Linked DNA regions of Rattus norvegicus. Each later gene encodes a partner of the first gene's protein in a complex. Links are inferred from orthologs where the notes say so. Each region holds a gene or a part of one and is shown on either strand. Other genes may lie near its edges. The genes, in order: Sumo3, Senp2, Uspl1 and Senp1.

Region 1 (4,382 bases):
GCCAAAGCTTAAAAAATTACTTATGAGGCTAGTAAAAACACATACCTGCAGGCTACACTTGGCTCTTTGACTGGTAAGAAAAGCCAGCATAAAGCCAAGGGTGGAGAACCAGAAGGGCACTAGGGGACCCTGAGTGAATCCAGTGGAGGTGGTAAAGGCTGAGGTCCCCCCAGGCCCTCTGATCTCAGACTCTGCTCTTTCTTCTGGGCTCCGTATAGCTCTAAAGAATACGTGTGCTCAGGGCCCCGGGTTCCATCCTCCATACTGGAGGAAAAAACCGTATTGAGTGGCAGTAGTTTTTATATAATCACGATACACACAAGCTGCTGGACAAGGGCCGAGTCAGCACTTCTTGCTGCCTGGAAACACATTTTGAACAATAAGTTTGTTATGGGCCGCACAGCCAACCTTGGGTTGTTCAGTCTGAAAAGGACCTCCTTTCTGTTGTTCAGAGCAGGCTCGGCCCACGGGATGCACCATTTCAGCCACCATGGATAAGAGTTCACAGGGGCTTTTTAACCTTTATGATTGTTTTCATGTATATTAGTATTTGCTTGCACGTCTGTCTGTGAATCACACGTAGGCAGTGTCCAAGGAGGCCAGAAGAAGGTGCCAGATCCTCCGGGAGTGAAGTTACAGATGTTTGTCAGCAGTAACGTGGGAGCTGGGACTTGAACCAGGTCCTCTGAAAGAGCCACCTGCGACCCTAACTGCTGAGCAGTCTGCAGCCTTGGGACCATTAACTAATATTTTATATGCATTGGGGTTTTGCCTGCATGCGTGTCTGTGTGAGAGGGTCAGATTGGGGTGTTACAGACAGGAGTGAGCTGCCATGTGGGTGCTGAGAACTGAACTCTGGTCCCCTGGAGAACAGTCAGTGCTCCTAACCACTAAGCCATCCCTCCAGCTGAGAACCTTTTATTTCTAAGGAGACAGATCCCTTATTCTACTTGCAGACCAAGCTTTCTCCCTGTCCTCACGCCAGCTTTTTCCCCACAGTTCCACAGAACATGCTCCACAAGAAGCACCCTGTTTCCCTGGGATGTCCTCAGCAACTTTTTATCCCTGGAGAAAGAGGTAGAACAGTCAACCTGCCCTGCACTGGGTTCTAACAGTCTTGGATAGGAGCACAGCTCTTTCTAGTCTGAGGAATGGTCGGCAGGAGAGAGGTTCCAACAGGGTCCTGAAAGAACACGCCTTGGGGCACCATTCTCCCATCCCCTCCTGTGTGAGACTTCCCCCCACTTCAGTTCAGGACACCAGTGACACAGCAGTACTGCTCACAGAGCTTGGCACCTGCCCCAAAGGGTGGGATCCCACATGAGAAAAAGTGAGGTCTGTAAGCCAGAAGCATGAACAATTCTAGGTCCCAAGATGCACTGACTTCTATCCCAAAAGGATATGTGTGTGTGTGCTCAAAACTGAGACAAAGGTGAAAAGGCCTCAGGCATGCTTTCCTGGATAGCAGGATGCCTGGTTCCGGTCTGGAGTTCTCTAATTAACAAGTAAACTCAGAAGAACGAGGGCTTAGCACAGTGACTGCCATCACCCCAGCACTCCTGGGTCTAGGTGGAGGCCAGTTTGAGTTACACAGGGAAACCAGTCTCAAAACACAGCAAAACCAAACGAAGGCAGGCCACCCTTAGTGACACACGCTTTTAATCCCAACATTCGGGAGGCTGAAGCAGGAGGATCTCTTTGAGTTTGAAAACAGCCTGGACTACAAAGAAAGCTTATCTAAAAGAGAGTGGGGTAATTGGGGGTGAGGGGAGGGTCGTAACTCACTGGTTACTCATCTGCCTAGTGTACAAAAGTCCCTGGGCTGCATCACCAAAATATAAAAAAGAATATAAGCCTCTGCCTCCCCTAACCTGGAGAGACAGAAGGCGTGGTCTTTCCAGTGCCACATCAGGCATTCACTTCTTGCCTAGCTCATCAAAAGGTTACAACTCTTGTTGCAGTTACCAGCTACAAAATATAAAGTAAGTGTCTACTCTTGGCAGAGGACGAACTGTGCTCATTCAATATCCGGGATGGTGCAGGCAGGACCCAAGGCTGAGCTGAAATTAAAGGTAAGGGCCCTGCAGGAATGAGATCTCTGGGCTCGGCTGCTGAGCATGGTACCACGGCATTCCAGATGCTTGCCCTGGTCCTAGGGTCTGTCATCAGAACCAAGAAAGTGGTCATCTCCAGGCCGGTCAAGAGCACAGAATACCAGGCTCCAACGTTCATCTCCCGTTGGATAAAACTATCCCCACCAGAGCAGGCTGGAAAAACTGTTCAATTTGGAATGGGCAAACCCGGCCTTTCCAAGCACCAATTGCGGAGACCACCGCGATGGAGTGGGAGGGCATGCGGCCGGGCGAACATTGGAAGCTCGGAGCGGCCAGCCTTGCTCCCACACTGGTGCAGCTCTCACAGCGACCGCTGCGCCTCGCGCACGGCATGCAAAAGACAGCCGTGTCCGGAGTGAGGACCGACGGGGAGCCCTGTGAACCAAGAACCAGCACCCAAGTTCCGGGTTCTCGGGGGCGTGGGCGTGGCTCCATCTGAGGCGGGGCTAGTCCGGGGGCGGAGCCTTGTCGTGGCGGGAGGCACAGCCGGAGGCGGGGCTAGAGCAAAGCTCCGGGGAGGAGTGCGATGCCGGTGGGGGAGGGGCGCGGTAGAGTGGGGGAGGGGCGCGGAGGCCCGGGCGCGGTCCCGCGGGTCCCGTTTGCGCGCGGCCCAGCCTGCGTCCCGCGGAATCTGCTGCGTCTTGCGTACCGGGCTTACCTTGGGCTTCTCTTCCGACATGGTTGCGCGGCGACGGCGGCGGCAAGCGCAGCGGGAACCGGTGGCACTGGAGCGGGCGAGTCACGCTCTCTGCCCCGCCGCTCTCCCGCCGCAACTGTCGCGGGGCCGCGCTTTATCCCTAAATCCCGGCGCGCCGGTTGGCCGCGCGGAGTCACGTGGTCGGGCGCGTGCACGAGGCGCGTGCCCCGCGCCGCGGGTGCGCGCTGGCCAGCCGCGATTCCGGACGGTTGCAAATGCGTCACGGGGCGGGTCAGGCGCCCGGGCGCGCGCAGGGCCCCGGGGACGCGCGACTCGTGGCCCTGGGCCCAGAGACCCCCCCCGGATGTGGGTGCAAGACTGTGCGGCTACGCAGGGAGTAGGGAGGCACGGGAGAACTTGGGGGCACGAGTGCTAAGTCAGAAGGCAGAGGAACGCTTTGGTCCAACCGGCAGCCACTTCGACACCCACGTTTGGGGACTTTTCTCATATACAGGCTGCATTTGGGGAAGGGAAGGCGAAGAAACTCAGGGATGTCCGACTAACCCTTTCAGGTGGTCCAGAGGACCAGTAAGGAGGTTACCAGGCATGGTTTATGGACCACACACTCCTAGAACAGGCCTCTGGCTTTGAATCTGAATGTCACAGCGAGGGCTCATGTCTGAAAAAGGCATCCTTTGAGGGCACAGAGGATGGCTTCTGTTGGCCCTGAAAGCCAGCACATAACTCCTATTTCCATTTGACTTCCTGGGTGGGGTGGACCAGCCTCCAAAGCACATTCCCAACATGGCTCCCAGAGGGACATGCCTCTTCCTCTTCATTCTCCCTGTCTATCTATCTTCTTCCTCCTTACATAGTCCCAAAGTAGCCACTAGGTGGCTGGGGTAGGTGATAGTGGCAGGCACAGAAGGCCTTCCTTTTGACCTACCATTTATTTGCCCAGTTTCTGGAATGCTGTTAATAACCCACTTTACACAGGACACTAAGATACCTAGAATTTTAATAGTATGCCCAAGCAGTCAACTTGGTAAGCAGGGAAAGAAACACTTGAGCATCAAGCCGCTAGATCCATCGGGAGCGCTAGCTAGGGTGTCGAGAGTGTCTTTTCCTTGTATCTTGTCATGAACTTTTAGAATGCAGTCCACAGGCCCTCTGTGTCTAAATGCTAACACCTGCAAAACACACCAGTTGGGACTGACACAGTCACCCACAGTAGTCCCAAGAGGCTGTTGGTGGCCATGTTTCAGAACCACACAGCGGCCTCCAGAGAACTGGCACTCTGTTTGACAGAACTATGTTTCTGTTCCAAAGGAGGGCCAGCAGAGAAGTATCCCTACTTCTTGGTAGCACTGCAAAGCCACTAAGCCAAGTATCTGTGAGCCCAACCTTTAAAGCCTCCTTCCCCTGTACACAAAACCTCTCCTCGGGAAGTTTGTCAAGGTCTTTCCACAAAGACTCATTTGGAAGTCATCCTTCACCCCAACCAGAACAAAGTGTGGATTTTCCTCAAACACAGACCATGGTCATCCTCAGCTGAACAAAATGTCCAGCTCAGACTGTGTGTGTGTTTGGGGTGGGGGTGGGGGCAAACTCCAGAAACCAGCCTGGCTGAA
Region 2 (3,682 bases), on another chromosome or scaffold:
TGAGAGTGGAAAAGGAGGTAATGTCTTACCTGGAGAGGTGGGCAGGAACATGCAAGTCCAGCATGTCCGCTCATCTGGTAACTTAGCAACTGATTGTAAGTACACAGACTCCCACACAGCAAGTCGATCACAAGATTGTCTAGCGTACTGAATACAGAAAGAATTGATTATTATTTGGGAATTTTAACTTTAGCCACTATATATCATAGGTTTTGTTGTGGGCTGGGATGGTAATACTTACACTCTAAGGTCTTTTCCTTTGTGTCTGATCTGATCTTCCTCACTTTTGTCTAAGTTCTCAGAGAACGCAGATGGACACATTAAAGACCAAAGGCTGGATGGAAGAACAGAATCATGGAGTCAGAACAACCCATTTGGTTCCCAAACAGTGTGAGTTCCAGACTTAGCTCTTTCTTAAGACTCTGCCTGCGGTTCATGTGAGAGCACGCTACTGAAGTGTGGTATAACAGACCATAAAATATTGTCAGGCTTCTAGACATCGGCTAGCACTTATCTAGTACCTAAAGTTTTATTTTAAAAAAGAAAATTGTTTTAAGATTAAGTTGATTGGGGCTGCAGAGATGGCTCAGTGGTTAAGAGCACTGACTGCTGACCTGAGTTCAAATCCCAGCAACCACATGGTGGCTCACAGCCATCTGTAATGGGATCTGATGCCCTCTTCTGGTGTGTCTGCAGACAGCTACAGTGTACTCACATATATAAGTAAATTATTAAAAAAAAAAAAAGATTAAGTTGATTGCTAAAATACTGTATAGTAGTATATTTTGTGAAATTAAAATTAATTTACTTCCTTATATTAACTTTCTTATATTTCTCCAGTAACTATTCACTGAATGACTTTAGTTTATTAAATGAACTGTTATCAACTGTGCTCAGGATTTAAGGGAGAGAAAGTTACATGTATTTTAGGTGCTTGTATGTGAGGCAGCCAGTGGCTTTTTAACTCACATTAGCATCAGTGCAAACAAATGTGCTGGTACTTAGAATCTGTGTACTGAAATTCTAACCTGTGATTGGTTAGTAAAGGATCTCTTCTTTCCATCCCCACAGATAGAGTTGTTGAAACAAGAGGACCTCTCTGTTCAGTGAGAAGTGAAAAGAGGTACATGGCTCATTTAATTTTAAGATTTCATTTAGAATTAAGTTTTCTCACTTTGCAAATTACATTTATGAATCACCATGAGGCACTGTGAATCTCCTTGGTCTGGTATGTAGTCAGCACTCAGGAGTAGGTGAATAGTTCTTAAGTCAGACCCTTTGAAGCTGCCCCTCATCCCTCAGCCATCGGGGCTTGGGTAAGTAGGTGCTTCTCAAGAGTCTGAGTCTCCAGAGGGCACCGTCTTGGACATAGGAAGGGGGAAGGCCGTCTGCTTTCCCTGGGGAACTTTTGGGTGGTTACAACTTTATAACAGACTTGCCAGCTGTGGCCAAGAGTCCAGATCTGGTTCATCTGACTGTTTGTTGAGGAAACCACAGTGGTAAAGACGTTGTGGATGAAGCTACAAGCACTTGGGTGCTTGGTGTCTCCAGAGTCCAGAAAGGGATTCAGGTTCCCTAAAACTAGAACTAGAGCTGCAGAAGGTTGTGAGCCACCATGTGGATGCTGAGAACTTTGCAAAGTAGCCAGTACTCTTCTGAAAGACGTGTCAGAGATTGAGACCACAGCTAGCTTTGAGACCCATGTAAATCAAATGATGCACTTCTGTGTATTCTGTGGCCCAGGGTAAATAGTTCATCCCAGAGTGACTGATGGGACAGTCAGAAAGGAGCAGTGAGACCAAAGCAAGATCACTGCTGAACAGAGACAACTGCTGTATAAAACCTTAAGATAGGAGCTGACATGTTGTGAGCTTGGCCACCGTTGGCCTTGCATTTGAGGTTCCGTGGACACTCACGCATGGCTTTCCTCCAACTCACCAGAGTCTGCATTGACACTGAGGCTTTATTGTTGCCCTCCCAACTCCCCACAGGAAGGCTGACCCTGTTAAACATTGCCTAGTCTCCAGGCCCTTGGAAATCAGGTGAACACCTCCATGACCCTATAATTCCTACACATTGTATGTCTGCAAAAACAGTAGCACCTAGACAATACTGAGGTCTCTTACGAGCTTGACAAAAGCTGCTGTGGCCTCTGTTTAGGTGGTGATCCACAGGCAGCTTTCTACAAGAAAAGTACTTTGTTCTCAAGGCTCTCTTTAAATGAATTTACAGGGCTGGCAAGATGGCTCAGGTGCTTGCCACCAAGTCTGAAGACCTGAGTTTGATTCCCAGAACTCACCTAGTAGAGAAAACCAACTTCCTGAGGTTGCCCTCTGGTTTATGCTTGTGTATCATAGAACATTTGCTGACCCCTCAGATAAATAAGATTACAGGGAGACAAACAGCGGGTGCTGGGGTCAGTCATGGAACACTGAGCAGGCAGGTTTGTGCTCAAAAGCCATGGTCAGTTCCTTACTCTAGGGAGGAACACCTGAGGTTTCTGCAGGTCAGGGTGCCAGGGCGAGCCCCAGCAGTGCTAGTCTTTAATTGCATCACCTTGTCCACTGCTTTCGGTGTGTTGGCTTCAACTCTCTCTGCTCTGCATTTTTCTTCCCTGTACAGGTGGCTAAAGAGCCTTTCAAGTTCTTTAGTCACTGCTGTTAGTTATTGCTTCCCTACCTCTTTTTCTTCTTAAGGGAATAGGCAGGGTGGGTGTATATGTGTGCATGCATGTGGAAGTCAGAGGTAGAGACAGTAGATGTCTTCCTCAATCTTTTTTTTTTTTTTTTTTTTTTTTTTTTGAGACCTGGTTTCTCACTGAACCTAGAATTGATTTGGCTGAACTGTCTGACCAGCAAGCCCCAGCCCACAGCGTATGCATGTGCTATTGTGAGCAGCTTTTTCATGGATACTGGACCAAGCTCAGTATTTTACCAACTCGTCCACCTCCTCAGCCCCCTTTTCCTGCCCGGTCTTTTGAGACAGGATCTTACTGTGTAAGGCTGACCTCAACTCCTGATCCTCCCTCCTCTGCCCACTGAGTGTAGAGTTTACAGGCATAGACCACCTCTTCCTGCATGCCATCCTCTTTTAAATTGCCCTCAATTTCAGGGAAGATTTTAGGTGGCAAAGAAAATGCAGCCATTCTTACATAGTAGTATCATTGCCCTGTCTGAACCTAACAAGTATAATCCAGTGTCTGCATTTCTCCTCAGTCTGGTCTTGCCAGCACCTGTCAATCTCTCCTACTGCAGCATTGTAGAGTGTCTCTTTGACCTAAATCTGCATTTTTTTTCATATTCTTCCTCAGACTAGTTCCAACATTGCAAGAGCCACAGAGAGGTTGGTCACAGCAGCAAGCCCACTTTTCTAGCATTTGATTTTCATGTTAGTTTCCTTCCACTGCTGCTAAAATGCCTGACACAAATGCTGTAAGGGAGGAAGGGTTTATTTTAGCTCACAGTTTTAGAGAAGTCAGTCTGTCATGCTGAGAAAAGCATTAGAATGACACGCTTTGTTTATGGCAGTTCAGGAAGCAGAGACAGGGCAGTGTCAGGATTCCCAAGGCCAGTTTTGTTTAGAGATTAATAAATCCTAATTTTAAAATTAAAAAAAAAGTTTGAAACAGTTTCATTTAGCCCAGGGTAGACTCAAACTCATTATGTAGCCTTGAACTACTTAC
Region 3 (3,572 bases), on another chromosome or scaffold:
AATACACCGTTGCTGACCAGGCGGACCACTTGGATAGTTAAAATTCAAGTTTAACTATCACTAGAGAGGCAGATGCCTTTGTGAACAAGTGGCTTTGTCTTGGAGCCTGAGGCTGCCTAGCCCAATATTTCTAACTTGTGCATCACTCACACTTCACCCTATGTGCCCATCTGTAAACTCACTGTCACCTGACTCACAGAAGGCCGAGTCTTAAATACTGAAAGGTACTGTGAGTGTGCGTGTGCGCGCGCGCGTGTACATGTGCATGGTTTAGAGGCCAGGGCAGTGTTGGGTGAGACAGTCTCCACTGCAGCTGGAGCTGATCGGCTGGTCCTGGTCAGCAAGCTGCTGGCACTCCCGGTGTGCACTGCCACATCTTACACGGTTCTGGGAATGGAACTCAGTGGCCATGTTTGCTGGGCATCCTTACACTTGACCCATCTCCCCAGGCCCCATACACCAACGTCAGAACCCACCATTCTTCCACAATCACAAGATGAAACCGACAGAAACTTGTCTGAGGACTTTAATTTGCAGAGATCTCATGTCTCACAGGCAGAACCAGAGGAAGACCCCAGTAGTTCACAGTTTCCCCATGGCTGGAGCACAAGGCTGTGCACTTCAGCCAGCACTACCCACAGCTCAGCCTCCTAGCAGCAGCGGTCAGGACTAAACGACGACACTAGCATGCACTCAGCAATTCTCAAACAGAGAGTCATCGAAATGAGGTATGTCCAATGTGTCATTTGTTAACGAATTCAATGCTGAAGTAGGAAAAAAATCATCAAAAATGTCAGTCTTCATGGGACTCCCCAAGTTCAAGGCTCTTACACAGGCACTGTCGATGACTGAATGCAGATCAACCTCACACTGGCTTTTCTCAGGGCTGCAGTAATTATGCTCCTGGTTCAGACATGTGTTCTGGGAAACAGCACTGAATTCGCTAGGTGCTGGTGTTGGGGTGCTGTTGTCCCCCATTTCCAAGTACCTCAACTCAGGCTCTCCACTTTCTGAGGGCTCTGACAGGGCTGTAGGCGACAACAGCTCTGCTAAAATCTCCTCATGACTCTGGCTGTTGCATGAGGTGCCGTCGGGAGCAGAGGTGCACCCAGACTTGTTGTCTGCAAGGTCAATCTGGTACTGTAGCTCTCTGAGCAGATCTTCTACTGCGTCACAGTCATTCGGAGACCCACAGTGGGACGCAGGCTCTGAATGGTCGCTTACAGACGGTTCACGGCGTGGGGAAGACATGAGGGCCGCTAGTTTCTTCTTTTTTGCCTTTAGCTTTTTAAGAAGTCTGAGCCGAAGCTTATGAACCTGATCTTCAGCTGCCTCTGCACGGCCTGCTGGAGACATGGCGCTTTCATCACTGGGAGGTCTGTGGCTGAGGGGAGCTGAACGTGAGCCTTCCTGCTCCTTCAACTGGGCTGAGGAGGCATTCCCAGCGGCCTGCGGCAGAGCAGCCGTGCTACCCGACAGTGGAGGGCTGCTACCTGGAGATGCCTCCTCCACATGCTTAGCTTTCCTGGACATCCTTTTAGACCTGCGGTTTATACTTTTCGTTTTAAAGCCATCAAAATTATTGGCTCCTTTCACGGAGGGCTGCAGGTCAGTTACTGCTCTACTCTGAGCTGAAACACAGGGTGGCATAAACGCACCGCCCCTGCTCAGCAGCCCTTTCACCCAACTTCCCACGAAGGCCTTCTTCTGCTCATCCTTCCGAGGCTGATTCTGTGCTGACCTGGCTGCTACCGGTTTAGAAGACGCTGCATTTTCTCTTTTTCTCAAATTAGATGCCTGAGTTTTACCTGGTGGTTGTCCAGGGTTTAACCTGTCAGTTTTCAGTGGCAGCAACTGTGTCTGAGAGTCCTCAGTTGCCATGGACTTCAATTCCTGAACAAGAACAGGAACAGGGGCATCAGTCACAGGTTTAGGAACCACTGTGTCCCCTGCCTGAGACGGTACTGCCTGCAGACCTGTGCTCACAGCTTGGGATGGGAACCTGGAATCCACACAAGGGGCAACTAGCATTCCTTCACACAGGTTCAACACCAAGGAAGACCCCAGGGAGTCCTGCGGCTGAAAAGTCAGTGTTCTCACAGGTCCTGCACTTCCTACCACAGGTTTGTCTTCTAAGAGGCAATCTTTGGAGTCAATCTGAGAAACAGAGGCAGTTTCCTGGATAGTCTCTTCAAGTGCAGAGGGTGAAACGCTGTCCAGCAAGCCTCCTGTTCCTGAAAGGACACTATCTCCATGAGCTACAGCTTGGGTTGCTGGAAGAATCTGAGGAGCAACTGCCATAGGTGTAGGATGGGCGACTGAGGGTTCTGAGGTGGCGGTCCCAGCCAGAGAACTCGGCTGCTCCTCACCTGACACGGACTGCACGTGCAGCTTCATGTGTGGAAGGCAGGCAGCTCCTTCAACTGGCACCTGGGATTTTCTTTCCCAAATAACGATATGTGTCTCTGATGCTGGCACTTCACAGGCCTCATGCCTTTTAGCACACGGACCCTTCAGGTCATCACACTCCAGCCAACTCCCTGGGAAACAAGAAACACAGCTACAGGTTAGACCTTCTTGACACCATTCTTCCTTCCCAGCTGCTGTGTCACTCAGCACCACAAAGGAAGCCCTGGCAAGGCTGTCCTCAGTCGCAGGCTAAGACTTTCCTTCTGATTATAAAAGGTGCAGGCTCGGGGTTGGGGATTTAGCTCAGTGGTAGAGCGCTTGCCTAGGAAGCTCAAGGCCCTGGGTTCGGTCCCCAGCTCCAAAAAAAAAGAAAAAGGAAAAAAAAAATGTTGAAACGGAGAAATTATACTATGTCCATTTTGTTACAATAAAAAAATTAAACAAAAACCATGCTGGGAAAAAAAATGGCCTGATGCTGAAAAGTCACGGGGATTAGAAGAAGGTGGAGCCTTATATTTACTCACACTTTATTTATGCCACATGAGAAGCTGAGATAAACAATAGCTTCTTAGTAACTACCCCGGGACCTGTGGCAGAGCAGACAGACAGCTCTATCTACAGAGTCAGATGCGGTGGACTGGGAAAGCATGGTGCCCAGTATTCTCATGCCCACTGCACAAACATTTTCTGCCCCCATTTTAGACATCAGGGGTGCAGCAAGCAGTGGATATCACACCCACAGCACTCTCACAGGATTACAGTATTCTTACAGACACCTGCAAAACTGCACCCACAGCAAACTCTTTCCCTTCAAACTTACAGACTCCATTAGAGAGAATTCTGAGAACTAGGGAGGTTAGGAAAGGAGAAGTCCTTTCTGCAGCTGGGCTTCAGATCACTTTGATGTTAGGACATCAAAGTCAGTTTAGTGACTCAGGACAAATAGAGGTCTGAGGCCCAACAGATTTTATTTTTAATCCCTTAAAGACAAAAAATTAAAACAAGATTAAAATACTACTAGTGAAGTGGACCATGACCAGCAAGAGATGGAAAGAGGGGTAAGTGCTGGGATCATGGGTAGTCAAAGCACACTGTATACAGGCAAAAATATCACAAAGAAAACTAGTTCTGAATAATCAATGTAGTGCAGGCACACATGCATG
Region 4 (4,327 bases), on another chromosome or scaffold:
TTCCCCTTTCTTCCTTAATGGGGTAGAATTTCTTTTTTTATGTGTATGAGAATTTTGCCTAAATGTGTGTCTGTGTACCATGTGCATACCTAGTGCTTGTGGAGGTTAAAAAAGGGCTTCAGATCCCCTGGAACTGGAGCTATGGATGCCTGTGAGTCTCTGTGTGAGAGAAGCTGAACCTAGGTCTTCGAAGAGCAGGACACCTCTTAACCACTGAGCTTTACCTCCTGCAGTAGGGCATTAGGGTAGCATTCTTTAGGGTCCAGATTAAGGTGGGGGAAAAAATCCAACAACCAAAGTTACTTTCTGATTGTGACTAGTTTATTCTGCATACCTTAAAAAGAAGTCAGGCTGGAGAGATGGCTCAGTAGTTAGGAGCACTGACTGCTCTTCCAGAGGTCCTGAGTTCAAATCCCAGCAACCACATGGTGGCTCACAACCATCTGATATGAGATCTGATGCCCTCTTCTGGTATGTATGAAGACAGCTACAGTGTATTCATACATAATAAATAAATCTTTTAACAAAATGCCAATTTAAAAGTCTAGTATCTACAACTTGGGAGATAGGAAGATTCCAAGTTTGAGGCCACTTGGATTATATAGCAAGATACTCTCTCTCTCTCTCTCTCTCTCTCTCTCTCTCTCTCTCTTTTTTTTTTTTTTTTTTTTTTTCTGGAGCTGGGGACCGAACCCAGGGCCTTGTGCTTGCTAGGCAAGTGCTCTACCACTGAGCTAAATCCCCAACCCCTTAAGATACTCTCTCAGAAGGAAAAAAAAAAATCTGGTATCCAGTAGAATAATCCCAATTAATTTTTTTTTTTCACTTTAGAGATGTGGAAGGAGAAAACAAGCTAGAAGTTCAATAATTCAAAAAGTTAACTGACTTGCATAAAATCACACAGATGGGGCAAAAGGAAGGACTCAAGAATTCCTCAACAAATACACACTCAAGCTTAGCACAGTTTCACATCCTTCAAACAAATTCACTCAAAGATTTACCTGGGCAATTGAAAAATCACCTCCAACTAGCTTTGAGTAATCTAGTCTGGCTCGTATACGTAAATGATTATTCATCCCTTTTTACAAATACACCTTGCTTCTTCGGTGTGCTTCCTCTACCTTCTTTAGTAATGATGTTGGAAGAAGAGATTTTTAAAAAACAAGAAAAAAAAAATCAAGATTCTACGAGTCCTAAATAAGGAGCCTTAGGTGTCATCAAATTCAAGCAAGGATGACAGTTTTTTATTTTAAGAAAATCTTTGTTGCTCAGTGGTGGTAAAGTCACACACCTTTCACCTCAGCCATGTGTGAGGCAAAAGTAGGTGGATCTCTTGTGAGTTTGAGGTCAGCCTGGTCTACTGAGCGAGTTTCAAGATAACCAAGGTTACACAGAGAAACCCTGTCTCAAAATATATATACGCATACATATATATAAAAAATTCTAATAATGTCTCCCTAATATTCATCATTCATTTAACTTACAGAATGTTACTAAGCAGCTGCTTATTAATGTGAATCAAGTTAGCAGCTGAACACCAAGTGAAAGGGAAATCTCCTGCAATAGAATACAAAGTAGTAAATTACTTGTAAGTCTGTATGCTTTGGAAGAGAGGATTATAAAAATGAATGTTTAGAGCACTAATGATGTGACTAGAAAATACAGTCCTGTACAGTTACCTGTATGCAGGTCCAAGATACCGAGTGGAAGTAAGCATGTGAGTGACCCTACTCTGAGTTCTGGAAAACAACTATACCTATGATACAGTTCACACTTGTTCAGGTCCTCATCATAGTATTTTTATGTGTACTCTCTCCCCCAGTTGGATTAGTACCTTAAGCACTTTAATACTCTACACCTCTAAACAGTAACTGCTTACACACATACACTAAGTGTGGGGTTCTGGGATAGAAACATGAGGAAGCTCTGGCCTTTGCCCTTTAGAAGTTTTCAGGCTAGGCGAGGAAGCCAGATGTATTCACAGACAGCAAAACTAGCATGACTGGTAGGAGAAGAAGTCAGTGGAAGAAAAAACTTCCCTCACCTTAGCCACAAGTGGCAGAACCTGTTTGTAAACTCATCCACTCCCTCTCCAGATGAGTGAGGCTACACCCACTTTCTCGAGGTGTGGATAATTAACTGAAATCAGGTTATGAAGCTCTGTAAAATGGACTGGGGGGCAGGTAGTCTAACTGGAAGGTTCAGGTTATTATTACAGGTGTCACTGTAACCTCAAAGGCAGTAATCCACATTTCAGCAAGAGTCCCGAATACAAACTATCTTTACGAAGAACACTTAGGCATGCTCTACTTCATCCAGAATTTCCTATTACAATGAAAACCCTACATCGAATAGTTGATAGCCTATTAAAGAACTACACAAAATTTTACAAGAATCACCATCACTCCAAATACAATATGTATGCCACATGATCTAAGTAATTTTAACAAGTGTGACTTAAAAGTGATAAAGGAGCAAGTTATTGCCAACAAGATAACAGAAAAACTGTAGAGGTACTGATAAAACAGAAATCACCAAGCTCAAGACAAGGGAAACCCAGCATATATCCAGAAAGATCACGTTAGGGTATACGAAGAAAAGGTTCAAGGCAATTACCAAGAGGCGATGAGCCAGGTAAGAAAACTGTGGCAGTTAAGGGGTTTCTCATAACCTGTGCAGAAGGGTCCAGACGTTTCTCTCTGGTGATGGCTCTAGCGCTATCACACCCCAGGGAAATACCACAGGGTAAAAGAGTTGGAGAATTGTTTACGTGAGACACAGTAGTCGAGAAGCAGCATTCAGGTTTCAAGGAAGAGAGGTGAAGCAGGTGGGAGCGAAAGCTGAACTTCCTCGTTGAAAACAGCTCTCCTTCCAGAGGACCCTGCTCTGGCGGGAAACTCCGGGAATCCCAACCGGCCTTTTCTCTTTGGGAAAGTAGAGTTGGGCGCAGAGAAGGCCCTGCTGTGACCGCATGGAGATGGCCTCTCCGCGGGTCAGGAGACGGAGGCCTGAAAGGGCGGCCTCAGTAAGCCCAACTACCAGACCCGGGCCAGACAGCCGCCACCGGACAGCAGGGGGGAATGGAGGTGGTCCCGAGGGGCGGGGCGGAAGAAAGGGCACGGTCCCCACCGCGGTCCTCTCTTCCGCTCAGCCCAGCGGAGGCCAGCGGGCCCGGTCCGACACAGCCTCCCGGCCCAGTCTCCCTCCATCCTCACCCCTCCCCCAGTTTCCCGCCGCCACTCACCGAACCGGAACCGGCTGCTAGGCAAAGGGGTTTCCGGCCGGGCGCGGACCGCAAAGCCCGGGAACCTCCGTGAACCGGAACCGTCTTTACAATACCGGAAGACCGTTTGGCGGGCGCCCGAGGAGGAAAGGGGGTGGGGCAAGAGGTCAAAGAGCTCGTGGAACGCCTGCGCGAGGTGGCGAGGCCTGAGAAGCTGAGGGAGCGTTTGACTCTAGTTTCAATCTTCCTGTCACCCTGTCAGACTGGGGTTTTTTCTCTTCGTCGCACTTCGAGTACTGTTAGTGCGCCCGCCGTCCTTTGCTTTTCTCTGTCCCTCCGCTCCTTGACCCGCTGTCTCCTGGTTCCGTTCGTTGACTTTTTTTTGGCTTACATGCAGGTTTCCATGGCAGCTGTTCGCTGTGGCCCTAGATGTTTAGAAACCTGCGCCTTCCCTGACAAATGAGGACTTGAGATCTAAATTGATTTCTAACTATGTCTTTTGAAAACCAGTGTGCATCTTGTCACACTTGACTGATCACAAGAAGTGGGGCTAGGGGAAACAGAGACTAAGAGAAACTTTGGGAACATCTTAACTTAGACTCTTAACAACACGCCAAACCTTATATAACTGGAATAATTTAAAACAGTGATCTCTAATGGGGTTCACCAGAGGTCTTAAACATGTAATAATGTGAGACTTTTTAAGACAGAATAATGGAGGAAAAATTAGCTTGTTCAAATTATTTACCGAGCTTCTGGCCCAGACCCTATTTAGAAGCTTGGAAAAGGCGCTTCAGAATAGTTCTAGACCCACTTAACTGCCTGTCTGAATTTGGTCTTTAAGTAGGGGAAGCCTCTAGAATCTACCAGCCTTTTCCATACTCTTAAGCATAAGGAGGTAAACTCGTTTGTTCAGGGGTTTTATATACTTGTTATGTATATAAAATATTATTTATATCACCTTACATGCTGATATTTTTATAGGGCCAAGCCCTAAAACCCAGTGGTATTAAGTATACATAGACCATGTCGACCTTTGACACTTTAAATATTCTATGGATCTATTTATTTGGGTTAAACTCTCTTTATTTCTAGGAAATAGCC

The links.
Region 2: the proteins of Sumo3 (region 1) and Senp2 are in contact, whole or in part, in a crystal structure (PDB 2IO1), measured with the Homo sapiens proteins. The link is inferred for Rattus norvegicus from reciprocal best matches to the Homo sapiens genes SUMO3 and SENP2. Residues at the interface, in NP_008867.2 of Homo sapiens: Arg55, Arg58, Arg60, Phe61, Asp62, Gly63, Pro65, Asn67, Asp70, Leu75, Asp81, Asp84, Phe86, Gln87, Gln88, Gln89, Thr90, Gly91, Gly92, Val93, Pro94, Glu95; in NP_067640.2 of Homo sapiens: Gln385, Asp386, Phe393, Lys394, Leu395, Arg396, Trp410, Leu411, Asn412, Asp413, Glu414, Ser439, Thr440, Phe441, Pro444, Lys445, Arg456, Trp457, Lys459, His474, Lys476, Val477, His478, Trp479, Met497, Gln499, Gln542, Asn544, Gly545, Ser546.
Region 3: the proteins of Sumo3 (region 1) and Uspl1 are in contact, whole or in part, in a crystal structure (PDB 7ZJU), measured with the Homo sapiens proteins. The link is inferred for Rattus norvegicus from reciprocal best matches to the Homo sapiens genes SUMO3 and USPL1. Residues at the interface, in NP_008867.2 of Homo sapiens: Gln24, Asp25, Gly26, Ser27, Val28, Arg58, Arg60, Gly63, Gln64, Pro65, Ile66, Asn67, Asp70, Leu75, Phe86, Gln87, Gln89, Thr90, Gly91; in NP_005791.3 of Homo sapiens: Ala234, Cys236, Trp237, Pro321, Gln322, Leu323, Arg324, Met330, Glu331, Ser332, Val334, Phe335, Leu339, Tyr368, Thr378, Thr380, His393, Phe394, Gly395, Pro396, Asn398, Arg407, His421, Val423, Tyr451, Asn454, Asn455, His456, Phe457, His493.
Region 4: the proteins of Sumo3 (region 1) and Senp1 are in contact, whole or in part, in a crystal structure (PDB 6NNQ), measured with the Homo sapiens proteins. The link is inferred for Rattus norvegicus from reciprocal best matches to the Homo sapiens genes SUMO3 and SENP1. Residues at the interface, in NP_008867.2 of Homo sapiens: Gln24, Ser53, Arg55, Gln56, Arg58, Arg60, Asp62, Gly63, Pro65, Asn67, Thr69, Asp70, Gln74, Glu76, Asp84, Phe86, Gln87, Gln88, Gln89, Thr90, Gly91, Gly92; in NP_001254523.1 of Homo sapiens: Gln440, Asp441, Glu446, Arg449, Leu450, Thr451, Lys455, Trp465, Leu466, Asn467, Asp468, Glu469, Asn494, Thr495, Phe496, Lys500, Arg511, Trp512, Lys514, Lys515, His529, Gly531, Val532, His533, Trp534, Gln597, Gly600, Ser601, Asp602, Cys603.

The regions. Positions count from the first base shown.
Region 1 is NC_086038.1:11,017,419-11,021,800, forward strand, and holds the start of Sumo3 (small ubiquitin-related modifier 3), read right to left. Parts: upstream 2,870-4,382; 5' UTR 2,794-2,869; coding exon 2,773-2,793; intron 1-2,772. UniProt on the Homo sapiens protein: Ubiquitin-like protein which can be covalently attached to target lysines either as a monomer or as a lysine-linked polymer. Does not seem to be involved in protein degradation and may function as an antagonist of ubiquitin in the degradation process.
Region 2 is NC_086029.1:92,502,022-92,505,703, reverse strand, and holds part of Senp2 (sentrin-specific protease 2), read left to right. Parts: intron 1-295; coding exon 296-390; intron 391-1,071; coding exon 1,072-1,123; intron 1,124-3,682. UniProt on the Homo sapiens protein: Protease that catalyzes two essential functions in the SUMO pathway.
Region 3 is NC_086030.1:10,859,260-10,862,831, forward strand, and holds the end of Uspl1 (SUMO-specific isopeptidase USPL1), read right to left. Parts: intron 2,541-3,572; coding exon 694-2,540; 3' UTR 505-693; downstream 1-504. UniProt on the Homo sapiens protein: SUMO-specific isopeptidase involved in protein desumoylation. Specifically binds SUMO proteins with a higher affinity for SUMO2 and SUMO3 which it cleaves more efficiently. Also able to process full-length SUMO proteins to their mature forms.
Region 4 is NC_086025.1:131,097,334-131,101,660, forward strand, and holds the start of Senp1 (sentrin-specific protease 1), read right to left. Parts: upstream 2,904-4,327; 5' UTR 2,799-2,903; coding exon of another isoform or gene 2,771-2,798; exon of another isoform or gene 2,672-2,770; 5' UTR 2,669-2,671; coding exon 2,617-2,668; intron 1-2,616. UniProt on the Homo sapiens protein: Protease that catalyzes two essential functions in the SUMO pathway.